Rhinolophus ferrumequinum: one gene and its partner. The protein of the gene in region 1 interacts with the protein of each later gene in a pairwise test. Links are inferred from orthologs where the notes say so. Each region holds a gene or a part of one and is shown on either strand. Other genes may lie near its edges.

The links.
Region 2: the proteins of TMEM239 (region 1) and CXCL16 interact in a two-hybrid assay, tested with the Homo sapiens proteins (2 studies listed by BioGRID). The two-hybrid records come from large-scale screens. The link is inferred for Rhinolophus ferrumequinum from reciprocal best matches to the Homo sapiens genes TMEM239 and CXCL16.

What each region holds. Positions count from the first base shown.
Region 1 is NC_046306.1:24,996,397-25,011,423, reverse strand, and holds TMEM239 (transmembrane protein 239), read right to left. Parts: upstream 7,490-15,027; coding exon 7,453-7,489; intron 7,228-7,452; coding exon 7,159-7,227; intron 7,065-7,158; coding exon 6,544-7,064; 3' UTR 6,422-6,543; downstream 1-6,421. Other genes in the region: C23H20orf141 (uncharacterized protein C20orf141 homolog), read right to left, coding at 7,778-7,952, 8,055-8,320; CPXM1 (probable carboxypeptidase X1), read left to right, coding at 14,341-14,560.
Region 2 is NC_046304.1:12,480,711-12,497,589, forward strand, and holds the start of CXCL16 (C-X-C motif chemokine 16), read right to left. Parts: upstream 3,609-16,879; 5' UTR 3,480-3,608; exon of another isoform or gene 3,135-3,479; 5' UTR 3,037-3,134; coding exon 2,967-3,036; intron 2,584-2,966; coding exon 2,445-2,583; intron 2,151-2,444; coding exon 2,068-2,150; intron 130-2,067; coding exon 1-129. Other genes in the region: ZMYND15 (zinc finger MYND domain-containing protein 15), read left to right, coding at 4,274-4,841, 5,284-5,518, 5,609-5,764, 6,021-6,181, 6,699-6,851, 7,170-7,265, 7,415-7,531, 7,648-7,736 and 5 more. UniProt on the Homo sapiens protein: Acts as a scavenger receptor on macrophages, which specifically binds to OxLDL (oxidized low density lipoprotein), suggesting that it may be involved in pathophysiology such as atherogenesis. Induces a strong chemotactic response. Induces calcium mobilization.

The DNA of each region.
Region 1 (15,027 bases):
TGAATAAAGACAGTTTTACTTCTTGCTTTCCAATCTGTATGCTTTTTATTTATATTTCTTGCATTATTGCACTAGCTAGGACATCCAGTACAATGTTGAATAAAAGTGGTGAGAACAGACATATTTGTCTTGTTCCTGATCTTGAAGGAAAAGTATTCAGGTTTTTTTTTTTTTTTTTTTTTACCATTAAGTATGAGATTAGATGTAGGTTTTTTCAGATGCCCTCTATAACCCTCTATGAAGCTAAGAAAGTTTCCTTCTGTTCCTAGTTTGCTAAGAGATTTTTTTTTTTTTAAAGCAGGAATGGATGTTTGATTTTGTCAAATGCCTTTTCTGCATCTATTGAAATGCTCATATGTTTTAAATTTTTTTTAGTTTCATAATGTGGTGAATTACAGTAATTGTTTTTTTCTCAATGTTACACCAAACTTGCATTCTTGGCTTTAAAAAGGAAAGAGATTACTGGGGTGGCCTGATGGCTCAGTTGGTTAGAGCGTGAGCTCTCAACAACAAGGTTGCCTTTCAATTCCCCCATGGGATGGTGGGCTGCGCCCCCCGGCAACTAAAGATTGAAAACGGCAACTGGACTTGGAGCCGAGCTGTGCCCTCCACAACTAGATTGAAGGACAACGACTTGGAGCTGATGGGCTCTGGAGAAACACACTGTTCCCCAATATTCCCCAATTTAAAAAAAAAAATGAAAAAAAATGTTTTACAAAAAGAAAAGAGGTTATACAATTTGAAGGTGATACAGTAAAGATGGAATTTCCTCCTCCTCAGAATTCACCCAAGCAAAAGTGAAAAATACAAAAGTGAAAATGAGAAACAGAAATGTAAATACCGTATCTGATGACCAGGAGAGAGCAGAAATCCCAAACAATGAAATACACCTATTTCATTGTTTGGGTTGCATGGTTTCATATAGGCTGAAAAAAGCAGTGGAATCACTGCTTGGTACAAATCACTTTGGAAATTATGGGGCAATATTTACCAAAGTTGTACGTTTACATATCCAACAATTTCACTTAAAGAGAAATTAGTGCATCTGTCTACCAAAAGACTTAAACAAGAATATTCAAAGAAGTTTTATTCATAATAGCCAAAACTTGGAAACAAATCAAATGTCCATCAACAGGAGAGTGAATAAATTGTCTTCCCGTACAAAGGAATAATACACACTAATAAAGGAGAACAAATTACTGATAGATGCAATAATATGGATAAATCTCACAGATGTAACCTTGGAGAAAAAACAGACACGAGTACAATTTTGTTCTGTACAATTTCAAGAATAGGCCAATCTATGGTGATAGAAGTCAGAATGGTGGTTACGTTTTTGGGAGGTAGTTGATTGGAAAAGGGCATAATGGAATTTTTTGGGATGATATAAAAGTTCTATATCTTGATCTGGGTGGTAGTTACATGCACACACACACATACATAAAAATTCATTGAGCTGTACTCAAGATTTGTGTATTTTACTAGTATGTAAAATGTATGTGGGAATTATATGTCAATTAAAAGGGAACCAGAATGGGTTTTTTTCAGGAATGGTTTAATGTTAAAAGACACTTAAAAATGTAATTCACTGTATAAACAGAATGAAGGAGAGTAACCAAATTGTCCTCGTAGTAGATGCAGAAAAAACAATTTTATCATTCCACATCCATTTGTGATCAAGACTGTTAGCAAACTAGGAATGGAAAGGAATTTCCTTAACTGGATAAAGGTTAACTACCAAAACCCTACAGGAATCTACATGCTTCCTGAACGGTGCAACCTCAGAAGCAGTTCCTTTTAAATCAGGATCAAGTTAAAGGTGCCTATGAACAGCAATTCCATATCCCATTGTCTGGGAACCCCATCTTGCACAGGCAGAAGAGGAACATGAATGGAGGCCCTAACCTGAGAACATCTGGCTTTTAGATCCATGAGGTGCCCTTCCGTGTAGAGGGCTTCACAACTTTCATATATGTTACAAATGTTACAAGTATGCAGTTTCACATATCAATTTAAAAAATTGTTTTTTGGTTAGACATCTGAAGACACGGCCAGAAAATATGGTAGAGGCAACAGATCTTAAATCAAATTGTTTTATTTTTAAGATGGAAAATATTTGAAAGGTAAGCAAGCGGTGTAAAGGAAGCAAGATGCATAATATAGATGGAGATGTTCCACAGAAAAAAACAAAACAAAAATCTTGTCCAAAGTTGTTTGTATCCAAAAAGACAGCTCTCTACCCCAGGAGGAATGGAGTGATAGACTAGGGCTGCTGGGCTGGGAGTCCGAGACAGTGAAGCCGGCCAGACTTCAGCCTACCCACCCAATTCAACCAGCCTTCCTTCCCCAGGGTTCTCAGGAGCTCTGATCTCCATGCCTCTGGGTTTCTGGCTGGAGGATCCAGACTGGAGATTTGGGGTAAGGGGCGAGGAGTCAACAAAGCTGCTACTGTAATGACTGGGCCAGAGATGCCCCTCCCTGCTACCAGGATCCACTCTCGCCCTCAGTGCCAGTGTCCCGGGCTTTGGGATACCTCTCTCCTCCTCTCCCTTCCCACACCCGATCCAAGCCGGACTCTTCGTTACCGGAGCTGGAGATCTCCGCCCGGGGCGCGCCCTGCCCCGTTGGTCGCAGGGTCCGCAAGCTGCGGTTCCCGGGCTGTTGATTTTCCAGGAGGACGAGCTGCCTGTGTGGGTGCCCGCAGCCCTCGGATCCCCGGCTAAGCTTCGGAGTTCCTTCCCAGCCCCCATGGTCCTCGACGCCCTCTAACCGTCGCCCTGGCCCCTCTTCCGCGCAGCTGAACCCAGGGGACTGCGCAATGACCCGCAACCTGCACCTGCTCCTGGGGCGACTTCCCGCGCAGCGCAGGCGCCTCCTCCTCCCCCCAGGACCCGGTCTCCCCCTTTTCCTGTGTGGCCACGGACTGTTGAGTGAGGAGAGCCGCTCCCTTCACCACCCAGCTGGTACATAGCCACCCCCGTTCCGCTACACACACGACTCTGAGAGCGCTCCTCCTTCCAGGGATCCCTCTCCTCCCCACAGGCTGGCCACTGACAACTGTGTCTGAAGTGTGCCCCCTCCTGACGCGCCCCCTGACACCGCCGTCTCGGCCCCTCCCGCGTTCTGGCCGCTCCTACTCGTTGCTCCACGTTCCTTGGGGCAGAGGAAAGTCCTACCTGACGCTGCCGCTCCTGCGGGCCCCCAGGATACGAGTATGCCCTTGTGGAGCCCTTCTCTGCTTTCTTACGTGCAAGGCCCCTTGCGGCGGATCTGATTATTTTTCTGGCCAGGCCACACCGGTCACTGGATCTACCTCCGCCCCCCCAGGGCAGGCGGTGACCGGGGGGGGGGGGGGGGGAGGAGCACAGACAAACATGACCCAAGCGCCCAGGTCACTCAGGCCAATGGAACAGCTCTCCCTTCTTGGCTCAAACCGCAAAGGCTTAGAACGCCTACATTCTAACAGGTTCATTCTCCCCGGGCTTGCATTTTTAAACGTATTAACTATAAATGGATGACTTGGTCTACATTTAAAGGAATTCCAGGACTTAATGTTCACGATATGTTTCTTTTGTCTCTGCAAGGTCCCTCAATTTATTCCCTTTTATCTATATACTCCACTCCCATTTGCCTGCCCCTAGTGTTGGCCATTCCATCATTCCATTCTGTTTATCTTTTGTTTCTATGTGCTCTTGGCAAAAAAAAAAAAAAAAAAAAAAAAAAAAAAAAAAAAAAAAAAGTATTGTTTTGCAGGCATGGCATACATGCGGACATGGCATACATTTTAAATTTGTGTTAAAAGAATTGTATTATTTCTCATTCAGTTTCTTTTCAGTCAACGCTAGGATTTCAAGATCAATCTGTACAGCTCCTGCCCATTCTAACTGCTGCCTGCTCTCCACGGTGCATACCCACCATGTTTCACTTTTCTCATCTCCTGCCACCACCAATAACAGTGCAATCATCATTCTCAAATGCGTCCCTTCTTATGCAGCACTTCTCCAACGGTGAGCACATTTATCACCTGGGATCTTGTTAAAATGCAGACTCTGATTCTACAGGCCTGGGGTGGGGCTTGAGTCTCTGCATTTCTAACCAGCTCCCAGGTGAGGCCTATGCTACTGGTCCTGGGACCACAGGCCCTTTCTGAGCCTCTGTGAGAACTCATTTTGAGTTGCTGGGTCACAGGGTATGGGCGGATTTAATATGATAAGTATTGCCCACCTGCTCTCCAGTTTGGCTGCACTATCTTACCCCACACCAGAAGAGCAGGAGAGTGGAAGGTGTATATTTATGGGGGGAAAGAAAGAAGGCCTTCTGCATTCTCCTGCCCACATCCTGTTCCCCACTGTGTCTGGTCTGGGCCAAAATCTCCTCTTTCCCTTGACTGGAATGGCCCCGAGGCTCCGGAGTGATGTAGCTGGCCAGCAGTGCACAGCTAAGTCAACGATAGACCCAAGACGGGCATCCAGGCTTTATGTCTGGCACAAGTTTTAAGAACAAGCATGGGTCTTCCGTTAAGTTATCTTTACTCCATCGCTTTCCCTTTAGTCGCCTGTTAGGTGGACTAGGACTGAAATTACCTGGCCTTGCCACTGGCAAGTGGCTAGTGGCTAGCCTGAACGTGACTTCTCATCCCTAAAATGGAATAGTAACAGCACAGCTACAGTTTGTGGAGTGAGGAGACAGTCCAGGAACTTCACCCACATGCCAGAAGCCCCACAGGAGCCCTAAGACGGTTGTTTTTGCCAGTGTTTTACCCACGAGAAAAATGAAATTCAGGAAGGCTAAGCAATTTCCACCAAGGCCATGGAGCTAGAAAGTCACAACGCTGGGATTCAAATCCAGCCTCAGCTAATACAGCAGAACCCATGCTAACTATGAGGCTATACCACCAGCATGTGCTGCCTTGCCCTCACTACCAGGCCATATTTCAGGGATAATCACAAGGAGATGGGAAGGAAGGACTGTGCTTCGGGTTTCAGGCCCTGATGCTAAAGGCATCTAACCAGTAGCATGCAGGGGTATGAAACTCCACAGCAAATGGGTTTTGGCAAAAATAAACTCGGGTTCTAGGGGCTGGTCCCTAGGACTTGAGTATTTAAGTGGCAGGAGATGGCACTGTGGGTCTAAGGTTTTATTTAGGAGGAGGGTTTTTAAGGTTAGATGTACAGTGGGGTTAGGACTGGGTGGGAGTTGGGGAGGGTCATGAATTAGGTGGGGGTCAGAATGCAATAGGGGTCAGGTGGGTAGGTCTTAGCTGTGAGTAAAGCTGTCTATCCTGTGCCTTACTTAGTAATAGCTGATCACTCACTGTTTTGTTTGGAGGGTCAGCAGATGTGCAAACAGCCAGTACCCTGGGCATTGAGGATGCCACCTTCCAAGACCCTCCTGGTGCTGTGAGCAGCTTGCCAGGTCCATTTTGGAAACCATGGACTATGCTTTTCCCACTCACACAGCTGTGCAAGCATCTCCAGGCCCCAGTCCCAAGCATTTCACAATCAGAAGAGTCTGACATCTACGTATTTTGAGATTTCATGATACAAAACCTTTTACATCTTGTCCACACTCATCCACTGTTTACCAATGTAATTATATCTATGACGGAGCATTTCTCTGAATGCCTTGAGAAACTTCTTGATCTCTCTATGGCCTTCGGGGTCAAAAGACCTTTGAGTCTACAGAATGTCCTTAGAGTTCAGCACAATATCTTACAGATCTATGGTTTTTACAAAGTATTCCACACATAGATATTGTCTTTGACTCAATTCCACAAGGTTAGCACAGGCTCAAAAGAATTAATTAGCTGAGGCCACACATTGTGTAGGTGGGTGAAACGGGACTTCTTTGTTTTCCAGAACAGACCTCACGAAACTTAAAGAGTAGGTACTCTCTGAGAACCTCATTATACTGTTTGGCCCATTTCCCAGATTTGGGGATGTAGACTAAGGCAGGAGCTAGGACGTCTAGGGAGTGGGGAAATGCCTGGGCAGAAAGATCTGGGAGGTGAACTAGTTGAGATCTCATGGGGCTTGTGGTCAGTCCTCTGCCAGCTAGCTTTCTGTCAGTGGGCCCTTTCTAGAGCCTGGGCAAGTGGAAAGAGGCGGTTGGTGGGAGGAATGGCAAGTCCAGGAGTACCTAGGTAGAAGTTCTCAATGAGTCTGAAGCTGAGACAGCTGCAAGAAAAAGATGCCGCTAGTTGCTAAGGGGGCCCCAGTGGTGTCACCACACCCACATGGGAGTTGTTGGTGGCTTGGCTAACTATGCCCCTAGTTAAGCCTTCTTCCCTGTCCCCTCTCCTCAAAGCCCCTGGCCCTCCACACCCAGTACCTGTAGCATGGGCTTGAGGGAGGTGCCCAGAGGTCAGGCCAGTCTACCCTGCCTGCTCCAGCAACAGCACGCATGCCACAACCAGTGCTAGGGACCGGGGGTCTGAGCCTGCTAAGGCAGGAAGGCCCTGATCCCACTGCCCTCCCTCTCCCCTGGGCCTCAGGCCCTAGGCCAGGGCTCAACAGACACAAGCAGCGGGATGGGGTTGCCCTTCTATTGGTCCAAATCCTGAGCGTGGCCTAGGTGAGACATGGAGGTGAGGAGGCCCACGAGGCTTAGCAGCGTGGAAAACAGCAGCAGGAAGGAGGCGGTGAAGAGCAGGGCCGGGAGGGCACTGAGCACCAGCAGCAGGACGGCGGGCAGCAGATGTCGCCACGCTGCAGCCACCACAGGCCACAGGGAGCTCAGCAGATGGGAACCCGTGGTGAAGAGCGCGTGACATAGCATCAGTGCCAGCAGCAGGTAGAGGATCCCTTCCAGACCACAAAGCACACGCTGCAGTGGTTGCCGCCAGCTGGATGTGGCCCACCAGTGGGTCCAGCTCTGGGGCACGTGGGATGCACACCAGCGCAGCCAACTCTGTCGCGAGACCCAGGCCGACCAGGGCACCGCCCGCTGCGGCCCCTCACCGGCCCCGATGGCATCTGTCTCCATTTGCGACTGCTGCATCATGGCTGGTGCACCTGGGGAGAGGCCAGGCCAGCTGCAGAAGCAGCCTTGGATATGTCTGGGACCTCAGGGCAGGTGTGGGTGCAGGAGTCAGGTGGGCACCAGTGTGGGTGGGGTGGGGCTTTGAGCTGGGGACTGGGTCTTACCTCTGGGCAAAGCCACCTAAGTCATGTTGCTTCTTGTAGCTCCCAGGACGGCCTGGCAGCCAGAGATGAGTCCCCTCTTTCCCTCATCTCCACCCTCCCAGAGGAGCCCATTGTGACCTGGTCTAGGGTGGGGTCCAGCCAAGAAAGGAGCCATTGCAGGGTGCGAGCCTCATGCAAGCCCTTCTCTGTGGACCCTTCAGGCTGGCAGAGGAGCCTGGGGAGTCAACAGACGTAGTTTGTCATGCTTTCTTGTGGGAAGCCCTCTTGGATATCTGTCTGTTCCCTGCTGGCTGATAGCCAGTCACACTCTGCTCTCTCGCAAGTCTTTCTCTCTGGACCTTCATTCTTTAGAACCACAGAGGAGGCCAGAATGGCCAACCCCAATCTGCAGGTTCTGAGATGGCTATCACTTCCCGCACTGGGCAACCTGTGCCTTATCTCACCTTCTATGGCTGCTTTCACATTGTGGGGCTGGAGGTCCCCTGGGGACAATGGGTTACCCTCCCACCCTGCCAAGCCCACGATGGAGAAAAAGAGGAATGAGGCAGCACTATGGCCAGTGTATTTCTGGAGGGCACTCAGGCCCAAGGATGGAGGCAGAAAGCCAGGCCAAGCAGGGCCAAAGGCACCCCTCAGGCTCCCAGGAACAGCCCCAGGCCCAGGAGCAGCAGGAGCAGAGCTTCCTGGAGGCAGAGTTGTCCTGTGACTGCCACCATCGGCAGGAGTAGAGCCTCCTGCCATCTGGGACCCTCACCAGCCCCCTGACTCAGGCCCCCTGTGAGAAGTGTGTGCTGTGGCCCGGTGGATCTGAGGGCCTGTGGAGAAAGAGGGCAGCAGCCGGGCTTTGGGAGATTGACCACTTCCTCACCTGCCCATGCCTGCCCATCTGCCAGGCTGCTGCCCACTTACCTGTGGAGTAGGTCGAAGGCCAGGAAGCTGACTAGTAGCAGCAGCAGCAGCAAGGCTGGGCCAGCCGAGGAAAAGACTGCCCAAATTGTCAACCCCAGTGCCCCCAGCCCTAGGACACTGTCCATGAGCTGGGCTGGACTAGGGTCCAAAGAGGACATACATGGACCCACTGGATGACCCGATCCCTCTCCAGCACCCAGGCCCCTGGGAGGGACAGGGATAGGATAAGCAAGGGCTTTGGGCCTGAGTGAGCAGAGCTGGGTCATGGAGGGAGGCGGAGGTTACAGGAAGGGGCTTTGTTTCCTGGGAGGGAGTATGGGGGTGGGGTGGGAAAGTGGGAAGGGGTGGAAATCACTCAAGGGTGAGCTCAGGGAGTGGGGAATGGGGCTCATGGGGAATCTCCCCCTCCCCACACGCTCACCCACCCAGCCCTTCTCACCTCCTCCCACTTAGGTCAGCCATTCTGGGCCTGACAGCTGGGGCATTGTGACCTCTTGCCAGGTGGATCCCTGAGGTAGGGAGTGGCTGCTGCTGGTTCTGGCCTCATAAGCAGCTGGGGCTTAGCCAGAGGAGGTCAGTGATTTCTGAGAACCAAGACTCAATCTCTTGCCTCTGCTAATTCTCTGCCCTAGGGCCCTCCCTTGGGGATCTGTGTTGCCAAGAAGGCATCTAACCTCATCACCACATGGGCAGCTGACCAAAGGAGGAAGGGCTGCTTTCTTTTTCCTGCAGGTTCCCAGAGCTGTGTGTCCAGGGACAAGTTATTCAATCTTCCTGTCTAATGCTCTCTTCCCTGAGAGTAGGGTGATGCCTGTGAGCTCTTGTGGGGGATTTTTTTCAGTATTACAGTCCTGGGATACAGAGATAGACTCTGTCAGGAAGCAAACCTGAGGCTTTCTGTGGCTGGGCTCCCATGTGACCTGCTACATAGGAATGGGGCAAGACGGGGCTATTTAGGCATTCTAAGTAGTACCATGGTTTGTGGGAGGTGTTCCAGATACTGGGATTCCAGAAATGGCATACAGGATATGAACGTAAGAGGGCTACTACATAGTAACCCCCAAACTGGAGGTTAAGGTTACCCTCTGAGAATGAAATTCAGGAAAATGAACATGTAATGAAGGGATTGGTCGTCTGGGAAAGAAACCTACCCCCACTGATAGTCTGTAACTGGGTGATGGTTCCAGAAGTTCCAGCACATCTTAGTTTAGTGCCTTGAGAGGCAAGAATGGAAATGGGTCATAAATGAGAGAACTTAATCCTTGTCCACATATCATATTTTGAAGGAAAACTGATGGGGGCAGGTAGTGAAGACAGTGGCCACACAGCTGCTAGGAGAGGAGGAGACAGAGTGAGAATCAGGCTGCATATCTATCTCCAGTGGGCCTTGTCCAAAGACTCAAGTTTGGCAACGTTGATATCTTTGGTGGTGATGGGCTCAACAGCCCATGAAGCTAATGCCACTGACCCTTGGGACCATTCTTTGATTACTTTGCTCTGGCTCTTGCCAAAGCAATAAAGAAATGCCCACAAAATTCTGAGGGAAAATGATTTCCAACCTAGAAACGTATATATGCCCAAATGCATACCAAGTGTGAGGGCAGAATAAAGACATTCTAAACCATACAAGGTCTCAAAATTTTGACCTTGCATGCACTGTTTCTTAGAAAGTTACTGGAGGATGTACTTCAGGAAAACAAATAATTAAGAAAGAAGAGAATATGGGTTTTAAGAAATGAGGCCAAACACAGGAGAGGTATGATGAGAAGGGCCTGGGATGTCAGCTGTGCTCCCAGGTGGGAAAACAAGCAACTCATCCTGGAATCAAAAGATAGATGCTTTTGGATCACTTCATCATCCCCAGCAGGGATGTCTCCAGAAGAAAATAAAATGATTATCTGCTGTTTTTAGACATATTCAAAATAAATGTTCAGTTCTGTTGGAAACTTAGAATTGTATTAGCAATTGGTGCCTTTAAGACCCAGCAAATGATAAAACAAAGTAATTACTTTGTAATTATTACAAATAAATATTTACAAAGAAAGAATTACAAAGTAATTATTACACAAAGTTGAACAATAATATTTACATGGTCATAATATAAGCACTGAATATAGAATCCAGTGATTTAGCTCTTTTGGGAAAATGGAAGGAGGGGAAGTGTATGTTTGTGTATTTGGGTATGTATGGGTAGAAGGGTGATAAGAAAGCTAAATCCTTAATTCCACATTAGGAATTCCACAGATAATGTCTAAACATCAAGAAATAGCAATAGAAGCGTAGAAACAGCAATAGAAGCATAGAAGTAAGTACAAGGAAAAATAACAAAAAGCATTTAAAATGGTTGACTTGGGAATGGAGAAGCATAGAAAAGTCTATTACAAGCCTAAATGTAATTTACCCCTAAAATTATATTCCATAGTATTTTGATAAAAATGATTTAGTTAAAAATAAAAAAGCAAATCAATGTAGGTTCATATTGTTGAGATCAAGAATATACCCTCCCAGGACGAGTGAAATGCCAATTTCCTAATGTTATGTGGATGTACTCTTGTGGCTTGAGATAACATTTCCAGTGACAGCACCAAACACCATCAAACTCAGAAAGCTGTGAATCTTATGCATTTTAAGTGGAGGCTTTAAACCTCCAACTAGAGCTTCTCAACCTTCAATGTGCACATGACTTCCCTGGGATGGAACTGGTCAGGGATTCTGCATTTCTAACAAGCTCCCAGGGGATGCTGATGCTGTTGGTCCTTGGCCACTCTTTGAGAATGAGCTCTAAAAGACATTGATGTACAAAAGAGAGACAGCTGGGGAAGATGATGGTGAAGGGAGGATGGACATGTGGGAGGTACCTCCCTGTGCATCTAGGTGCCACGGGAGTCCCCATCAATACTCACCTGCATCATAAGGAAAACACATAGTGGGTAGTGAGTTCTGTCTCAGCACCAGGAACAGGAGGTTAGGACGCACAGGCAGGTAGTGGATTCCACTAGTACTTCTCTATTTGTGAAGCCAGACACATAGCCTCCTTTCTTTTCTTGATTTGTTTTATTCCATCCATGTATGTGAGAACAAGTGCACCGTGTTAAGCTGTTTTCTCCACCTTTAATTCATCAGATTAATTTCAGGGCCCCTTGGAACCACATATTATCTCATTTCATCATCATAGCAATCCTGGGAGGAAGATACTATCGTTCCCATTTTACAGATAAGGAAACAGAGGCTCAAAGAGGTGAAATTACTATCAAAGGTTACACAAACAAAATAAATGATGGCAGATGTGAAATTAAGCCAGTGTGGCGCCAAAGTCATGTATCCTCTCCACCCCCAACCACTGGACCACACCGGGGAGCGGCAGGATAGGCCCAGCCCATCCCTAGTGACTCAGTGGTGCTTTGCAATGTATCTTCACCCTTGTGAGGCCACAAAAGGTTCTCCACCTGGCTCCTGGGGCTAGAGATCTGGCTGTGCAAGTACCTACCCGGGAGCAAACCTGCTGCTGCACCCTGGGAGCTGCTACCTCCAGAACCTGCTTCTGGGCTTGGTGGCTTTGCAGCCCCAGGTACCCAGTGGTAAGGGCCAAAGGCAATAACCAGGCTGGGAGCACAGAGGGGTGTGAGGGGATGAGGAAGTTATAAAGGGATGTGAGAAGGTGCTGAGAGGTTCAGGGGGCTGAGAAGGGTGCAAAGAGGTCCTAAAGGTTGCCATAGGGCAGAGAGGCAAGGGGTACAAAGGGATGAGATGAGAAGAGGGAGGGGGGCACAGGGTACACAAAAGGTATGAACGTCCTGCCAATCCCAGCCCCGAAGGGATTGGTGGAAGGTGGCCAACATGCTCCACCCTGCCAGTCCCTTTAGTCTTCCAGTTGATGGTCTGCCATCTCCTCTCCCGCAAAACCTGGTGCTGTTGGGAAGGCTCAACTTCCCTCCAGCCCTGCTTGGTCCCTTCTAACCTCGAATATATTATACACATACTTTTTGAGCACTGACTAGGGACCAGGCACTTTTCTAGGCCCTGAAGTGTAGCTGTGAACGTTTGGGTGCAAAAGCCTCTTTTGGAGGGTTACTTACCTCCTGCTGTGTGGGGGGAGGGCACAGTAAGCACATAACAAATAAAACAAGATAGTCTCAGATAGTTTTGATTGACTTGAAGACAATACAATAAAACAGGGTGAGAGGATAGAGTGTGTGTAGAAAGGATGGAGCTTACTTCCATCAGAATGGTCAGGAAAGGCCCTTGGAAGCAGATGACATGGAAAGGCAATCTAAATAATGATGCAAACTTGGTGAGCCAGTGCAAAGGCCCTGAGGCTGAATGGGGCTGGTGCATTGGAGGAACAGCTAGAATGTCTGTGTGGCTGGAGGGCTAAGAGCTAGAGGTGAGCATGGGGAAATGAAGTGGGAAGGGTGTGGGTGGAGAACCTTGTCATGAAGGGCCTTGCAAGTGAGCCCACTAGGGTTTTAAGCCAGGAGGAACTTGACAGGATTTAGCTGCTGTGTGAGATCCGACTTGGAGGGGGTGGGAGTCTCAGGAGGCTGAGATGTCTTAACCCCCCTACCCCTATCTCCCCTTCATACCCCTCTGCAAAACTTGGATGAGCTTGGGGGCCAGAGACAGGGAAGTGGCCAGATTGGGCTTTGGCAGGAGGCGGCAGCCCACAGGATCTGTTCAGACCAGCTTCTAGCTCCACAGGAGCCTGTCCTGGCCTTCCACCTCCCCCACCCTCCCCTTGCAAAGCCTTGCCCTTCGGTACCTTCTTCATTCTGCCCCTGACTCGGTCCTGTGCTTTAGGGAGCCTCGGCTTTGGCGCGCCTACCTTGAGTTTTTCTAAGTTCCCCTCAGGCACCTGGGACCTAACGGTCCAGGAGCGGCGCTCCAAGGCAAAAGAGGGACCCTCGTGGGCCCTGTCCCCGTTACTCCCTTATCGGGAGCTCTCTACTCAGAGCGCGTGGGGTGGACCAGATGCCTGAGGAGCTCCAGGCTGCGCGGTGATGAAGTCGCCCGAGTTGGTGGTGGTCTCAGTTCCAGGAGCGCGGGGCAGTATTTCTTTCCAGAGATCCTGCGAGATGGTATTGCCAGAATGGCGCTGAGACGCTGACTTTGGGTGATTCAAACTGTTTATATAGATAATGGCCCTTGGAAAAATACTTGCTCACGGCTCGGCGTCCTTCAGAGGATTCCTGGCCACCTCTGGACATCGCTTCTCACACGGGGATGGCAGTATCTCCCTGCGAGTTCCTTTCAAGGTCCAAGCATTGGCCAGAGGCGCATATTGGATGCATTTCCTTTCTTCTGGGGAGGCGACCCTAGCATGGGGGAGTCAAAGAGGTCTCCAGGGGATGGGCAGGGTCCTGCGCTCTGGCTCTGGAATCTCGGGATGAGTGTAGTCCCGCGGACAGAGACCCAGGGCTGCCGGTCCCGGGAGGAGAATGAGGCAGGGGCGGTAAGAAAGGGTAGAGGGAAGGACGCCCATCAAGCCTGAGCCCATCCACCCCGCCCCAGCCCGCTGGGTATCGGCTGGGGCTTCTCTTCTTGGATTATGTAACACCAGAACGTGGCAGCCGGGTGAGCAAGGAGGAGGGGAGGGGAGGGAAAAGAGAGAGGGGAGGCGGGGCTGGGGGGGTGGTGGTGGGACGAGCCGCCTCTGGCTGGGCCCCTTGGGCTGTCTGTCAGACAGATTCCTGGAGGGCCAGCCCTCCTCCCATTCCCCAGCCCACCCCCGCCTCAGTTTCCCCGCATTCTTTCTGTCCTACCCGCCTAGGTAGATAGCCTCTGGCTCTAGTTGGATGTCCCTCTTGGGTTGTGGTTTCCTCCCCGAGAGTTCCCAGCTTTGCTGTCTTGGCCATGTCGATAGCCGTTCTGAGCCTCAGTTTACCAGTTTGTAAAATGAGGTTGGATTGAGAGGCCACGTGTAAAAAGCCTGGAATAGTGCATGGCACAAAGTAGGTGCCCACTACAGGTCAAAGCGCCTCACTGAAATCCAGGCTGCCGATGGGCTTTGCGGACTGTGAAGGGCGGCCCAGGAGGGAGGCCAGAGAGGGAGGGGCATGGACGGTGAGTGCGGTGACCTTTGGCAGCCCGTCGGGGGTCCGCCAGGCTAGCTCCGCCCCCGCCCTCCCCTCCCGGGTCCGAGGCCAGCGAGCGGGCTGTGGGCGGGCCGGAGGCCTCAGGGGGCGTGCGGCTGCGGCAGGAAGGGGCGGGGGGCTCCGGAGCAGTCGGCAGGAAGAGACGAACCCACCGACCGCCGGGGCCCCGCACATTCCCACCTGTGGACCTCGCCATGTGGGGTCTCCTGCTCGCCTTGGCCGCTTTCGCGCCTGCCGTCGATCAGGGTCTGGGGGCGCCCGGCAGCTCTCTGCTGGGCCTTGCGCCGTCTGCGACCACCGAGGCCCGGATCTCGACCCCGGCCCCGGCCCCGGCCCCGCGTAGCAGCCCGGCACAGCCGCCGGCGGGAAAGGATAACGGTGATCTCCCGGCTCTAGGGCCCACCTCTCCCTCAGGTCGGTTGCCCCACCACCCGTCCCCTGTGTGACGACCCTTCCCCAACACACACACACACACACACACACACACACACACCACACACACACACTCTTTCCGCCTTGTGCAATGGATGCTGACTCAGCAGTCCCAGTTCCAGGCCAGACCAAGTAAGTCAGCAGTCCTGGGCCCGAAGCCAGTGAGATGCTGCCTCTTCCAGCCCCAAACCTTCCCTTTTCACAGATGAGGAAACTGAGACCAGAGCCAGGAGGAGGGGAGAAAGAGGTGTGGACAAAGGCATTGACGCTAAGAGATTCAGAGCAAGACTGTGTAGGAGAGAGCTTGAGGGCAGGGGCTAGAAGGAAGGAACTAGAGAAAGAGAGGGAGAGCACTGAGGCTGCCTGGAGGAATGGGGTACTGTCTAGGGAGGGATGGCAGTCAAGGAGGGCTTCTCAGAGGAGGCAAATGAACAATGTTGTTGCTCACA
Region 2 (16,879 bases), on another chromosome or scaffold:
GTGGCAGGTACGGCTGGGCAGAGGTGCCCATGTCTGAAGGTGCCCTTTCAGTGGGCTTAGGAGCATGGGTGCTGGGGGAAGGTAATTGCTCTTGGTGCACCATTCCCTTGGAGTTAGCACGTCCACATTCTGGAGAGGCAAGAAATGAGGAATCAGGGCTTTGCGGGAACAAGGTGGAGAAATAGAGGGAAGGGTGGTGGGTCAAGGAGAACATCAAGAGAACAGCTGAAGGCCAGGAGAGGAAAGCAGGGGGTTGGGGAAAGGAGGGAGAAGAAGAAAGTGAGCCAATCACAACATGAAACCACTGAGACAAGAGTGGATTCTCACCTGGGAAGTAAAGAGACCTAGGTTGGCACCCTGGCTCTGCTGCAAAATACCTGTGTGACCTTGGCTCTTAACCTCTCTGGAACTCATTTCTTTCAGTTATGAAGTGGGGATAATTTTAGTACCAAGGCCCAGGGTAGCTGGGAGGATTAAATGAAATTATGTACGTTTGTGAAGCCCAAAGAGCAGTAAACATACCACTAATGCTACACCAGACAACTTGAGGTGGAACATGGAAAACATTTTGTATTTTAAGGGTTGTATATTTATTTTAGGAGAAAAATACAACCAGTGCATCAAATTTGTGACTTCACAGGTATTATTGCTTAGAATCAGTGCTATTTGAGTTTTCCCAAAATGGCTTATGTATATGTAAGATTTATTCATTTTATTGTGTGTAAATTTTACCTCAAAAGAAAAAAGTAACAATAAAATATTGAGCTCTACTTAATAATATGCTTGTTGAAATGTATGCGGATGAAGTATAGTCATGCCTGAACTTGGAAATGCATCAAAAAATAAGGTGGATTGATGATGGATAGAGGGATGGATAGTCAGATGGATGTGCAATAAAGCAAATATAGTTAAAATGCCATAAACTCGACAATGTAAAATATAAAATATATTTGCTTTATGTACATATACAAAATATGTAAGATATAAACATAAAAATCAAATATTGTAGAATCTAGGTGGTGGGTATATACATGTTCACTACAATTCTTTCCACTTTTGTATACTATATGTCTTTAAATTTCCATAATAAAATATTGGAAAATAAACATAGTGCCTTGATTTCAAAAAAAATATTAAGCAAATTGTTGTCACGCAGCAGCCTAGCCAACTGTCCCCTCGTGCCTTTCCCTAAAGAAAGAAGTCTGTGAGACTGTGCCTTTCTGAGACTTTGTTTCATCCTTGTGCTTGCACCTCAGGTCTCTCTGCTTGGCCCCCAAAAGATGGTTTGTCAGCCAAAGACACGTAAGATTTCTCACGGGAGAGACAATCTAAGACAGGTGGAACCATGTGGGGACCCCCATGAGCTACCATGAAAAATGTGGAGACGGGCATTGTCTCTTTCCCCTGTTCAAAGAGAGCCACTGCCGACACTGGCTTTCCCTCTCACCTGATTGTGAGAGAAGTTAGGAGGGCGATAATGTCAGCTCTCCCTGTTTAGCTCAGCAACAAAGTTTTATCATGAGAGACTTGTCCCCAGGAGGGTACATACCTTAATTAAGCCATCATGGGACTTTCTACATCAGCTGCTTGCCTGCTGGGATAATTGGTTTGAGTCACCTTTGTGACATGATGTATGAGTTTCACAGACCGTGGATAAAATAATTTTTATTTCCTTGCATAATCAATAAAAGCCACCAGTCGGCCCGATTCTGCGCTCCAGTCTTTCAGGACTGCGAGATCCTTGGCCTCTGTGATTTAACTGCATTAAGTCTCTGTTTTTTTCTTTCTTAAAACTTAACTTAATGCCGCCCCTTCTCATTCCATCACTGCCCGTGTTGCGCTGGACGAGACAGCAAATAATAGCACAGGGGATAGGATGAATTGGCAAAAATCATGAAAGTAGTGGTGAATGATGTTTGGTAAACAGGGACTTAAGTGAAAGTACTTTGGCCAGACTCAGAATAGGAATGTGAACTGTCACAAGGGAAATGGATGAGGCAAAGAAAATTGAAAGGTGGGGGCCTCTGAGCCCTGGAGACAGCTGGGGAGAAGGGGCAAAGCTCTCACCTTTGTGATCAAAGCAGCTCACCAATTTAATCACCCATTCGTCTTTGCTGCCCCCACATACAGTCCGCTGAGGTAGGTGGAACCTGTGGAGGAAGGACCTGGTCTCAGCTTCTCTTTCACCCTGCACCCACATCTTCCCCAGCTCTTTCCTCATTCCAAAGACCTGAGGTCACCACCCAGAGTGATCCATATCAGAAGGGCCCCGGGGAATTCCAAGGTAGATGGAAAAGGGAAATGGCGTGGGGAACTGAGGCAAGATCACCTATAGAAGGGGTAGGTCCTCCCAGAGGGAGTTAAGATTTGATCAGAGGGGGTCCTGGAGTCACCTGGCAGGGAGAGAGTGCTCAGGCACTGCCCTCCAGGGTGGGTGAGATTACCTGATGAAGAAAGGACAGCGCTCATAACTTTTCAGTTGTTTTTGTAGATGTTCCATAATATGGGCCCTTGGAGGGGATCCGGAAGAATATGTTGTACTACAGGAACAACTTCCCGCGCTGCTGCCCTCGTTGCCATCCCCTGAGTGGAACAGAGGCGGTCAGCAGTCAGCACAGGTTCCCAGGCCAAGGGGCTCCCCTAGCTATTATTTAGCCTTCAACCCACTGCCCTATTACATACAGCCTCTCCTCGAGACCCCGAGACCCGGTGGTCTGACCCCCAGTCTCAACGCGTACATCACACACACACCCAAAGACGTTCATAGTCGTACCTGGCCCAGATGTTCCCCCAGCCTGATCCCAGCTCCAGGCAGCTAACCCTCCCCCTGCCCCGGCTGCCTTGGGGACGCTGGGACGGCTGGTCCACAGTTACTCAACTCAATCCCGCAGCCCTAACGGCTCTGCATACACACAATCTCTTTCCCAGATTGGAATATCTGGGTCCCGGCCCAACCCCTGACGAACCTTGCCGAGCCAGATACGCAAGCAGAAGAAGCAGGAGCGCGAGAGACTGGGGTCCCCAACCCCGCCTCATCTCGGGCCGCCTGGCCCGTCAGACTCCTGGACAGGCTCCGGAGGGTGACGTCCGCCTGGTTTATCTAAGGCTTCTTTCCCCGGCTCCACCTGAGATTCCTGGGGAGACAGCGGCCGTGGGAGTCCAATCCCCCCGAGAAGGAGGCGCGAGGTGACAGCGCCCTCCCTCCCTACCCGCGCTCGCAGCGTGTCGAACTGACAGCGTGATCAGTACGGTCCACCCCGCGCGGCCGCCAGCCTCAGGCGACTAGGAAACCCCCAGAGGCGGAGCTCTTTCGCCCGCTCTCCCGGGATGGGCCCGGTGCCTTCGTCGAGGAGTTAGCCAGAAATGTTTGAAGAAAGCGAAAGAAAACTCGGGTGGCGAGGCGAGGCAAGAGGGCAGCTACCCGACCGACCGATTCGGTGCGGTTCAGGGATGCCAGCCATGCCCACCCACCATCTCACCCATCCCAGGTCGGTCCTCGGGACCGGTGACATGGGTGAGCAGCTACCGCCGCTTCCTCCTCCAAGATGCTTTCACTTTCCCAGCCGGTGTCCTGGCTCAGCTGGGTTCAGTCACATGGCCAGGGTGATGCCCTCAGGAGAGTCCGCGCGCCCAGACGCACGGACGCTGGCCAGGGCCACCTGGGCACACGCTGCCGACTCGCGGGGACGTGGCCACCCGAGGGGCTGGCGGTGGGCTCGGCAGTCCTGACGTCACGACCGCCCCCTCCCCCAGGTATTTACCTTCGAAAAGTGGTGGCGGCTGCAGGTACCGGAGTAGTGTAGTGGAGAGGCCCGGAGGGGCTAGGTCTACTGGGGCTCACCGATCCAAGAAGAAGGGATGCTCTGGTTCCTAGTCCCTCCTCCCACACCCCACAGATGGATCCAAAATTCTTCGCTCCTTGCCAAATCCTTCCCGATAGGATTAGCCCTCCCTCACCTCTATCCCAATTCAAACCCTGCTTTTGAAAGTCTGAGCCTCAAATTTTGAGCCTCAAATACCATCTCACTCCTGAGTACATCTTTAACCCTAATAGCTCACTTTCAAGTCTAACCCCCATTCTCATCCCTGTACTCCCATCCTCAGGCCTGAAAACCCTTTTCTCAGCTCATCCATAGATCCCACTCTAGGTGACCCTCAAACTCACCCGCCCCTATTTTGTGACCCAGCCCCAGTTTTCACCACCACCCTCTCTCCCTGACCATATATCCCTTTCTCTGCTTAGTCTGGGCCCAGGCCCCGTGCCCCTGAAGACATGGAGTTTGTGTCTGGATACCGGGATGAGTTCCTTGATTTCGCTGCCCTCCTCTTTGGCTGGTTCCACAAGTTCGTGGCCGAGCGAGGGGCTGTGGGCGCCAGTGTTGAGGGCCGCTGGCGACAGCTGGAGGCCCAGATCAGAAGGCTGCCCCAGGACCCTGCCCTTTGGGTGCTCCATGTCCTGCCCAACCGTAGTGTGGGCATCAGCCTGGGGCATGGGACAGAGCCAGGCCCTGGACCAGGCCTGGGGGCTGCCAGGCTCCTGGGAGACGAACCTCTACTCCACCTGCGAGACCTAAGTCCCTATGTCAGCTTTGTCAGCCTGGAGGAAGGGGAGGAGGAGGAAGAGGAAGAGAATGGAGAGGAGGAGGGTGCAGGTACGGAGAAGGTAGAACCTGAAGAGGATGGGGAGCCAGCCCATAACAGCAGGGAGTCCCCCCAGGAATCAAATCCTCCAGGGGAGCCAGAGGAGGCTGAGCAGGAGGCAGGAGGTGGCGTGGATGGCTGCCGAGAGGACAGGGCAGAAGACGAAACAAGGCCTGAGAGGAGGAAGGGACAAAGCAGTGGTAAGAACCCAGGGCTGGCCCTGTCCTGTCCCCTGCTCAGGCATGCTCCCCCTCTGAAGCCCTGCTCTGCCACTCAGAACCCAGCTAGGAGTCACAAACAAACGTGTGGCTTCAGGCCAATCTGGCCGGAAAAGTTGTTTTCATTGACCCACAATTTTTTTTTTTCAATTTGAGCCAATATTTAAACATTGAAAGAAAAAAACTCCTGAAGTCTGGAGTTATACCTTCTCAAGAAAAATCTAAAGTTCTGACAGCAGACCCACATTTCTTCGGGGCAGCAAATGCTGGTACTATGCAGTACCTGTCCCCTTCATGTGAGGCGTACCTTCTTTACCTTTACTCACTTAGTTTACTTGCCTAGCCCCTGAAGGCATTTGAGTTTGGTACCCCTGACCTTGATCATCTTTCCCACCCCCACCCCTGACTTTTCCCTTCTTCACAGAAGCTGTCCCCCTGCACCTTTCCTGCCTCTTACTGGTGACAGATGAACATGGCACCCTCTTGGGCATTGACCTGCTAATTGATGGAGCCCAGGGGAGTGCAAGCAGAGGCTCAGGGACAGAGAATCTGGCTCCTCGGGCCTATGCTCTCCTCTGCCACAGCATGGCCTGCCCCATGGGCTCTGGAGACCCTCGAAGGCCCCGACAGCTTACTGTGGGAGACGCCCAGCTACATCGGTACAGAAATGTAGTATCTGAGGGTGGGGAGGCCTGGGGGGCCTGGACTTCTGAGTCCCTTAGCCTGATGCCCTCTCTACCCCCATTCAGAGAGCTGGAGAGTCTGATCCCAAGGCTGGGTGTGAAGTTAGCCAAGACCCCAATGCGGACATGGGGTCCCCAGCCAGACTTCACCTTTGCCTCTCTTCGAGCTCGAACCTGCCATGTTTGTCACCGGCACAGCTTTGAAGTGAAGCTGACACCTTGGTAAGCAGCCTGCAAAGATGGAGTGAAAGGGAGGAAGACCCCAACAGTCAGGCAAATAGAGAGAAAGCAGGTCGGTGGGGTACCCTGCATATAGACAGAGGAGGGAAATAAGACAAAGAAAACAACAAGCTGTTACAGGCAGAGAGAATACAGACAAAAAGACCAAGTGACATCTGGGCAGCTGCAGGGCAGATGGACAGCGGACAGGACTTAACACAGATTAACACTGAGTGCCTACCGCCCCCTGTGACCCTAGCCCCCAATGTAGTGCTGTCTTGTACTGTGGAGAGGCCTGTCTCCGGGCCGACTGGCGGCGATGCCCAGATGATGTGAGCCACCGATTTTGGTGCTCAAGGCTTGCAGCCTTCATGGAGCGGGCAGGAGAACTGGCAACTCTGCCTTTTACCTACACTGCAGGTACCACAAGGAGGTCAGGATGGGGAGGGGAAGCTGGGACCAGGTCTTTGCATCTGGGGCCTGGGTGTCTGGAAACAGGGTCCTGGGGTTGAAGGTTAAGTACTGGAGCTGGAGTCTGCATCCCTGGAAGAAGGGCCGGGTACTGGGTATTTGGTTTGAGGACAAACCCCTAGAGACAGGGTCTCCGGAGCTGAGAACTGAGCATCCAGGTCCCTGGGAGAGCTTGGGGGATTTGGGAGTAGGGATTTATACACTTTCTTCCCAGATCTACCACTAACCGGTGACCATAAACCTATCGCTTTATTTCTTAACACCTTCCTTTCTTCGTCTGTAAAATAGGGATACCAACAAAATGTCCCCAGGGAACTGTTATAAGAATTCTATAGGCTGGATGCCTACTATACTACAGACATTCAGAAACGTTAGCTCTCTCCCTGAGTAGACTCAGACCCAGGGTCCTTGGGAGAGGCTGAGGAGAGCTAAAGTTACTAGGCCCTCAACCACTCTCCTCCTCTAGAGGTGACCAGTGAAACCTTCAACAAGGAGGCCTTCCTGGCTGCGCGGGGCCTCACTCGTGGCTACTGGACCCAGATCAGCATGCTGATTCCAGGCCCTGGCACCCCCAGGCACCCCCGTGGTAGCACACCATCCCTCAGCCTTCTTCTCAATGGTGTGTGGGGCCTCTCTTCAGGCATGGGCCTCTCAGACTAGAGGAAAGGATGGGAGAGAAAAAAGTTGTCCGGGTCCCAGATAACCCCTCCATACACACACACTAAAACCCACTACCACCACCAGGGACATTTCCGTCCCTTCCCCAACCCTCTAAGAAGTCACCCCATCCAGAAACTCCATCCCTAAGAACTGCCCCATTCCTCTTGCTGCAGTTCCAGGTTCTCTCTCAGGGAAAACAGCAACTTTGGAAGGGAGAAGGGATGGGCCAGGTGTGGGTCTCCCTGATGCCAGGCTCCTCTTCCTTTCCTCCTCTCAGGAGATCCCTACCAGCTTCTCTCAGGAGATCCCTACCAGGAGGACGGGCCTGCCTTGATGCCCCCTGTGCCCCCAGATCCACCCAGGGGCCTCTTTGGTGAGCTGGAGGGTCCCTGAAGGAACTGGCGGTAGGGACCTGGACTGAAGAGCCAGCAGTCTGGGCGGCTGAGATAAAGAGGGCTGTCAGACTAAAGGGGTTGGGGTCCAGGCCTGGGGCCAGGTCCCCCACTAACCTATTCTCCCCAGGCTCATGGCAGGATTACTACACATGGCGGGGCCTCAGCTTGGACTCCCCCATGGCTGTGCTTCTCACCTACCCACTGACTGTGTACTACGTCATCACCCACCTGGTACCGCAGTCCTGTAAGGAGAGCGGAGGCAGCGGGAGGGGTGCCTGAAGCAGGGGGACAGGAAGCTGGTAGGGGACAGGAGGGAAGAGGGGGGAAACCATATCCTTAAACAGCTAGCTTCTCATCCAGTCCCTGAGCTCAACATCCAGAACAAACAGTCGCTGAAAATCCATGTGGTGGAGGCCGGGAAGGAATTTGACCTTGTTATGGTGTTTTGGGTAAGCCTCTCTAGACCTGAAGGTTGGGCATACGGGTGTGAAGGTGGATTGGGGGTGGGGAGGACCCAAATCTGTCCTCTCTATCCTTTAGGAGCTCTTGGTTTTGCTCCCCCACATGGCCCTAGAGCTGCAGTTTGTGGGTGATGGTCTGCCTCCTGAGAGTGACCAGCAGCACTTTACCCTGCAGAGGGTAAGGACTGAGGGGGGTCCCGCTTTTCAGCCCTGATCCTCTTCCTGTCCCGATTGGGACCTGCCCTTCTGCTCCCTCCTCCTCTTTCCCCTGTCTTGCCTCCTCCGGTACCCTAATTTCCAGTGGTTTCTCCTCCCCATTTGTGGCTCCCCAGGATGGCCCCGAAGTATCTGTCCGTCCTGGTTCTGGGGTATCAGCACGGCTCAGCTCTGGGACTAAGGAGAAGGGAGGCCGCAGGGATCTGCAGATCAAAGTGTCTGCAAGGCCCTACCACCTGCTCCAGGGGCCCAAGCCTGACTTGGTTATCGGTAAGAGCCTGGGGTAGGAGTGTGGCGAAGGTGGGAGAAGAAAACCATGGGAGCCCGCTTCTCCCTGCTCCCCCTCTATCCACAGGATTTAACTCTGGCTTTGGTCTCAAGGACACTTGGCTGAGCTCACTGCCCAGGTTACAGGTGGGTAATGAGGCAAAAGGGAACTTCTCCCCCCCTTCCCCTCCCTGTCCAGTCCCTCCTCTTTTCTTGAAAGACTCTGCTTCCCATTATCTGTTCCACAGATCTGGGGTGGCCCACAGGTTCTCTGGCCCTCTCCGTGTCTGCCTCCTGCCTCTCCCCCATTCTGGTCAATCTAGGTCCTCAGTTTTCAACCCAGTCTACGACCCTTCCTGCTCGGGATGTCCCTGGGGAAAGGAGCCTCTACGAGAGTGTCTGAGGCCGCCCCCTTGTCCCCCCCCCCCAGTCCCTCCGAGTGCCAGCCTTCTTCACCGAGAGTAGCGAGTATGGCTGTGTAATGGATGAGCAGACCATGGCAGTGGCCACAGGAGGGGGCACCAGCCCTCCACAGCCCAACCCCTTCCGCTCCCCTTTTCGCCTCAGAGCGGCCGACAATTGCATGCCCTGGTAAGGGCCCGCCACCCTCCCTATTTTCTTCCCTGACCCTTAACTTCTAACTCTCTGGCTGTGCATACTAAATGGCCCACCCCAACCCTCACCTCTGATCTCCTGGGACCCTCCTTGCCCCAGCCCTACCACCCACTTTCTTTGTCCCCACTACTCACCACCCCCCTGGTGGGTCTCGACAACCCTAACACACGCCTCTCTAGTTAGGTCCAGCTCACAAAATCTCTCCATCTCCTCGCCCATCCCCAAAAGACTCCTATCCTCTGGCTGGCTGAGCCCTAAGTCTAGCCCCACGCCTCGGAACTTGGGGAGCACAAAACCCGCAGTTGACCGTGCCACGCCCCCCTCAGGTACTGCAATGCCTTTGTCTTCCACCTGGTCTACAAACCTCCGCAAGGGAGTGGGGCTCGCCCAGCACCCGGGCCCGGGCTTCCAGTCCCAACTCCTGCCGCTCCTCCCGCCCCAGCCCGAAGGCGCCGAGGAGAAAAGAAACCTGGGCGGGGGCCCCGCCGGCGGAGGTGAGGGCTGAGAGATAGCAGTCCACCCTGCTCCAGCACCCTGCTCCAGCACTCCGAAAGAGACTCAAAACACCCAAGGCCGAGGGTGATGCGGGTTGGCAGAACACAGAAAAGATAAATAAAATTGCTTGTTTGAAACCACTGAGTCTAACGCTTATAATTGGGTCACTAATCTGGGAGGGGAGAAAAGGATTTAGAGATGACTTATTTTCCTCCAGCTTCTTTCAGTCCCTCAGTGGCTGTCCCCTTTTACTTGGGACTCTGACCCTCCTTGGTATTCCCAAGCTATTTCTAGTGGATATGTGAATAAGTCATTTTCAGACTTTAGTAACCCTCAGGGACCTGCCCTAAGGCAAAACAAAAAGCAGAAAGTAGCTTCTCACTGAGGGTCAAGGGAAGCATGGAACCTCCTAGGGGCACACAGACCCCTAGGTTTAGATTAAGTGAAAGGCCCCAGCCACCCAACTGTCCAAATTAGAAACCTGGAGGCCATCCCTCACTCCACCTTCTCTCATTACTCATATTCAGTGAAGAACCCACTCCTGCTGAGTCAGACTGCTAGAGTCACTCAGTCCACCAGTTTATGTCCAATCCCACTGCAAACTCCACCACAAACTCATCTCCACATTTCAGCCAGCATATTGCATCTAAAACAGACGTTTGAACACATTACACCCCCTCCTCAAACCCCTTCAGTGACTTTACTCTGCTTTTAAAGACCCCTTGAGTGTGGGCTGGAGTTAGTGACTCTCACTAAGTATAGAAAAGGAAAAATGGTGGAGAAACCTGACCTAAACCAAGTGATTAAGGTTAAATAAATAATAAGTCATGTTAATATAATGTGCTCCCTGACATGATGCAATGAGAAGGCCACATCCCCTCTGTAGTAGTCTTCTTAAAAATCCATTATCTCAGTCTAATTGTTGCAGTCACAAGGTCTGTGTGCTTGGCACATCAAATAATTAATATTCAATAGATGAGAGTTTGGAATAAAGAAAGGTTTTGTTTATTATGGAAATGGTGATAAGGAGATTTCTGGTTTTCTCAAATTCATTTTAAGAAAGCCCAGAATTCAGGCTTCTCTTATGTCAAGGGAAGGGAGAACACACAGTGCAAGACGTGCAATCCAAGGAGGGGGTGGGGGAAATCTCCAAATCTCTTTGTTCCCAGACAGTCTGACCAGAAGTTACTCAATCCTATGGCAGAACTCCTCCAGTTAAATAGAGTATCTAGAGATTCAAGCTGGAATTAAGGTGGAGTCAGGGAAAGAAGTGTTTTACCTGTTACATAATCATGAGAAAACATCAGAGAAATCCAAATTGTGGGACAGTCTACTAAATATCTAACCACTATTCTTCAGAAGCCCTAATTTCCAACAACAACAGCAACAGCAACGACAACAGCAGCCACATTCTTGGCAACTAGCAAGCAGCAGTGGGAGACACCTCAAAAGTCATGAGAGGCAAGGAAAGACCAACAAACTGACAGATTGAAAGAGACTAAGGAGACATGACTAAATACAATGCAGTTTCCTGGATTGGAGCCTGGAACAGAAAAAGGACATTAGTGGAAAAACAGGACAAATCTCAATAAAGTCTGCAGTTTAGCTAATGGTATTTATCAATGTTAATTTCTTAGTTTTGATAAATATGCCATGATTCTATAAGATGTAACATTAAAGAAAGATGGGTGAAGGATATATGGGAATGCTCTAATATCTTTGCAATTCATCTATAAATCTAAAATAATTTCAAAATAGAAAGTTAAAAATCATGTTCAGACGCCTTAGTATGGCTTATAAGGTGCCTCTTTCTCTTTCTGCCTTTCTCTTATTATCTAAGTTTCAAAATATTCACAAAAGCCCAGAAACTTCGTATAATGAGTCCTATGTACCCATCACTCAGTTCAACAATTATCAACATTTTCCCCGTTTTAGTATTATCAGTGATACTGCGATGTAATAAGAAATACAGAGCGTGCCAAAAAATGTATACACATTTCAGAAAGGAAAAAAACTATTACAATTGTAATACTCAATGTATACCAATAACAAAAGATGAATACGAGTCATGTTTGACTTCTGCAATTACAAGAGGTGCTCAGAGTGGTTACCATCAGTGTCCAGACACTTCTGATTATGGCGAACTTCTGCTCAAGCAACACTGACCAAAGTGTCCACTTACATACATTTTTTTCGGCATCGGGGTATATATTTGGTCTTTCCAGGTTTCTGGCACAAGAGCTTCTAAAACCCTTGTAATTTCCTAAGCGATAGGAGTGTCTTTTGTTATTCATAAACTCCTTTCAACAGTACCTGTGTTTATGCTAATGAGGTGCCTTAGGTAAGCCCTTATTTAACTTCAGGATGGGGGAGCTTGTTGCCAGAGGAACCAATCATGTGATTAGATGGCTGGAAATTTCAGCTCCACCTCTCAATCCCCTCTCCCCAAGAGGTGAAGGGCTGGAGATTGAGTTAATAACCAAGATTTAATCAGTCATGCCTCCATAATGGAACGGCCATAAAAACCTCTACCCACCTAATGGGGTTCAGAGAGCTTCACTTCAGTGAACACACTGAAGTGCTGAGGATGGTTGTAGGGAAGATGTTGAGGAAAATTTGACTTCATTAGCTGATGTGAGTTTTTGTCTGTTAATTTTTGTTCCTTTGTTTCCCCACATGAGAGACTACATGTGAGGTGTTGGTTAGCTTAGGTATAAGAAAATTTCTCCCTCATCTCGTTCCCAGCAGGAGAGATATAGGAGGATGTTGTTTTCTGTCTGTTTTGCCCACATCAGCAGATGATGTGGAGAAGTAACTAAGTTATATCAGAATGACGTGACAGGCACATTGCCAGGCTTTGGAAGGCCTTGGGCTGATGGTCCCAGGCGAGAACAGTAGGTGTTGTTTGTCCGAATGAACTGACCATTCAGCTGGACAAGCAATATTCTTATCACAGTAACTGCCGGATCCTCCCAGAACTGGCCATTTCCTGAGTGGGAGGCAGGAACAAGGAGCTTGGCTCTAAGGTACATCTGAAAAAATACATAAGAGAGACCTCAGTTGGCAGTATAATTTCGTCATTTTGTCATTGGTAAATCTTCATCATTCTAACATTTTGAAAACTCATATACAACATGCAGTTTACAATATGAGGAGATGCCCTGACTTCCACCTGCGGACCTGTGAGGTCTGGCTGGTTCCTGACCTCTCCAGTGTTGTTTCCCACAGTTAGCCTTCTTGAGAACTGGTTAGCATTTAGGAAATTTGTATGCAGCTTGCAGCTTACAGCATGTGGGGACAGAGCCCCAGAGAGCAGTTTCCAGGCTCTCGGCCTCACGTGGAGGGGTGCTGGCTCGGGTAGTAGACGGCCGTCAGCTGTGGCTGGTTGGCCGTCAGCTGTAACCAGTGAGCCATGGGCCACTAATATAACTGCCATGGCTTTGCTAGCAGAAAATGGGGCCTAGCAAGAAGATGGTGGCTGAGCCTGCAAGCGGCGCAGTGAGGGTTGCGAACAGTGTGGCTCCTGCTTCTTGTGTCTCCAACCCAGCCACCAGCGAGAATATAGTGGTATGACTCCCCTACCTATGGCTCCGTGGGTGTTCCTGTTTGGCCTCACCATGTCCTGCGTTCTTATGTGGGGAGCGGGAGCAGAGACCCCGCAGGCTGTCCCGCATGACACAGCATCAGGAGACACCCTAACTTCCAACAACAGCAATGGCAACAGCAGCAACATTCTTGAGAAATTGTTAGCATTTTAGAAATTTGTATGCAGTTCACAGCATCAGAAAATGCCCTAATTTCCAACAACAACAGCAACATTCTTGGGAATTAGCAAGCCGCAGTGGGAGACACCTCACCTTTCCCAGCTGCAGACCTGTCAAGGTTTTGATTCCTGACCTTTCCACTGTTGTTTTTCCTAAGGTTTGTTGAGCTTTTGGCGTCTACTCTAATAGTTGCTATCCTATAGCGTTTTTTACTGCTTTTGGATACTCCTTATTGATGTTATTTGTGTATTTAGCCAAGTGATTTTTGATCAGTAGTAAACATATGTTGGGATCTCTTAAACCTGTATGTATGTGTACTCTTTTGACATGACTTTGTTATCAATGTCATGTTTAGTCTTAACCACCTTTACTTTCTGTCATTAGCACATTCCATTAATTGCCTTTGTCTTTTGCTATTGCCTTTTACTAAATAAATTGATTAGATATTGCTAAATAAATCAATTAGCCCCTCTCTGGTGTGCTCCTCCCTTTTCTTTTCCCCACTCGTCATTACAATGGTGCATGCACCTAGAGAGAGCATGGAAGCTCCACACCACCCTTGCTCCCTATACCTTGCCCTATGCATCTCTTCCATTTGGTTCTTTCTGAGTTGTATCCCATGTGTGTGTATATATATATATATATATATATATATATATATATATATATATATATATATAAACAGTAATAGTGATACCGTGCTAAGGTCCAGCTGCATGCTGCTTGAAAAAGTTAAAAATCGAGAGACAAGTTTGGTGGAAAGAAAAGTAGGTTTATTCAGAATTCCGGCATCTGGGAAGATGGCAGACTCCTGCCCAAAGGCCACCTCCCCGTTCCTAGACCGGGCAGAAGGTTTTATAGATTCACAAGAAGAACAAAGGAAAGGGAGAGTCAGTCAGGCAGGTCTAGAGGGCTGACATCCTTCCTGGGGTCTGGTCTGTTTTAGGATAATGTTGTCTCTGGACTCCAGACTTGACTGGACCACCACGGCCTAGGGCTTTATGTGTATTCTGGTGTATGGTCACCTGAAGATTAAGAAATTGCCCTTTCCAGGTTAGGATTCGGTTGATTAATTGGATTAATGAAGTATAGGCAGTCTTGAAAAGGGGGAAAAACCAGAGTTCTTTCATTAATCAGTGAGGGGAGAAACAAAGAGAAAGTAGCTGAATATCAGGGTGGATCTATCTGCCCACTGGCTAGGTTTAATTACAGGTGGCTAGATAGCAGGCTATGTGGTGAGTTAAACTGCAAACTAGCTAAGTCTAACTACAGTATTGGTTCCCAAATAGTAAACTATTTTCCTGAGTTCTGTGAGCTATTTTAATAAATTATCGAACCTGAAGGGAGGCGGGCGTCATTGTAACTCCCAATTTATAGTCGGTTGTTCAGAATGGTTGTTCAGAATTACGGGAGGTTGAGGATTTAGGATTGCATCTGAAGTGGGGGCAGTCTTGTAGGATTAAACTCACTCTGTGTATTTATTGTCAGAATTGATTAAATTGTGGGACACTCAGGTGGTGTCTGGGTAGTTGAAGAATTGGTTGCTATGGGGAAAAAATAACCCATAAATTTGGTGTAAGACGTGCTGGTAGTAAAAACGGCTAATAGCTGATGTCAGAAGTGAGATTTGCTAGACTGATACTGGCTCAGAAATAAGTGGTTTGGGAAGAGAAAGAATGAAAGGGTGGGAAATAAGGAACCTTTGGTTCCTGGGTGGTCACATGGTCACCACGGTATGGAACAGCAGTGGTACTGCAATCAGTTACTGCAAATAAAAGTTACAAATGTAATTTGGAATTGGATCCAACTCCCAGGAGTCGGTTCACTAGTAAGGAAATGCAAACTACTAAGGAAAAAATGCAACATACAACCCCTTGGTTATTATCTGTAATAACTAAAATGCAATTAAAAAATAGTTCTGGTTTGGACTTTCATACTAGACTAAGTTCAGATTTTGATCAGTCTAAGCTTTGGCCACTTGCCTCAAAGCTGTCCACAAAATGAAAAATGATGCCGGGACAACAGAAAGTACCTCTAAGGCCTTTGGTCACCAAGGAGGTAGTCAACGTGGGAGGAGGGCAAAACAAAGAAAGCACTGAAACCAGGGGATATAGTGTGGAGGAGCTGCTTCATTTTGTATCATCAGCTTCCTGAAGAACCTTTACATTTTAAAATGGACTAATTTAGGAGCAATAGCTTTGGTGTTAAATGCTGCAGGGTAGAAGGGCATGTTTGGGTTAATACAGGACCTACAGATCCCTATTAAATAATCAGAGATGGCTGTAAACAATCCAGACACACACAGGAGGATATTTCTGAGACATGTTCCTGAAGCTATCGAGGGCCTCACTAGGAGTCACCTCATTAGCGTAAAGGCAGGTAGGGTTGAAAGGGGCTTACTATGAATAACAAAAGATACTCTTCTCATCCCTATCACTTAAGATATTCCAAGGGTTTTAGAAGCACTTGTGCCAGGAAACTGGGACGAAGACCAAATATGTATCATCGTTATATGACAATATCACACACTCCCAGCTTTTTTCCAGAGTGTTTTAAAGCACGCCCCAGACAACAGCCCTCTCACTTATGTGCATCTATAACTAATAAGGGCTTTTAAAAAATATATAACTGTAACCAGAGGCCAAACAAGTCCGGGGCTCGTGTTGCCTGCACTGCTCAGCCAATAGACTGACACAGGAGTTGGGCCGTGGAATAAGCGTTTATTATCAGAGCACTGGTGGTCCGAGAAGGCAGCGGGTTAACGCCTTAGGAAAACTGTCCTACATTCTCAGACCGGCTGGGGGTATTTAAGGGAAAATCAAGGCACTCTCCCAGAGGCTGCATGACATCCCGCAGGTCTGTTCTCCTTTCATGATGCCTCCCTCTGTCGTCGGATCTCTTGTGGCACCAGTGGTCCGGGAACAGTGGGGGAGTAACCTGGGAAAATGTTAAGCAATAGAGTTTATAATTAGCAAGCATCTACAAGGGTGATCTTCTAAGATAAGGAGAGGGAACAGAGCATCCCCGAGGCATTCTGAGCTCAGCTACAGGGGTGTGAAGCCTACCTGGTGGGGGCAGGGCAGCCCAGAGGTATTCTGAGTACAGGGGGCCCAGCTGGGCCCTGCTTCAGAACCACCATGCCATTATCATATCCAGTAAAATTAATCATTATTCTTTAATATCTTATAATACCTAGTTCATATTTAAATTTATTTAATTTCGCAAAGAAGTCTTTTACAGCTGGTTTGTTCCAATCAACAAATAAATAAGATCCACATATGACTTTTGGTTGTTTTGTCTCTTAAGTCGCTTTTATTCTATAACAGACCAATCTCCCTTTTCTTCATTTCTTCCTTTCTTTATTCCTTTCTTTCTTTCGTTCTTCCTTGCTTCCTTCCTTCCTTTCTTTTTTCAGTGGCAAAATTTTATTAAAAATTGAAATGGGGGACATTAGTTTATGGTTCCACATGTAAGGAGCTTAGAAGTTGCCATTCTGTCCTAACCAACCTCCCTTTTCTTTTCTTTTCTTTTCTTTTCCTTTTCTTTTCTTTTCTTTTCTTTCCTTTTCTTTTCTTTTCTTTTCTTTTCTTTGCCACTGATTCTATGCCAATAAGAAACTGAATTGTTTGTCCTATAGAGTGTTCCTCATTATGGAACACTGATTACTTCCTCGGAGTGTTTTTTAATTTGTTCATTTATCATCTTTAGTTCCTGTAAACTGGTAGTTAGATCTAGATGACAAGGCTCTTTTAATGTGGTCCCTGCCAACCTCCA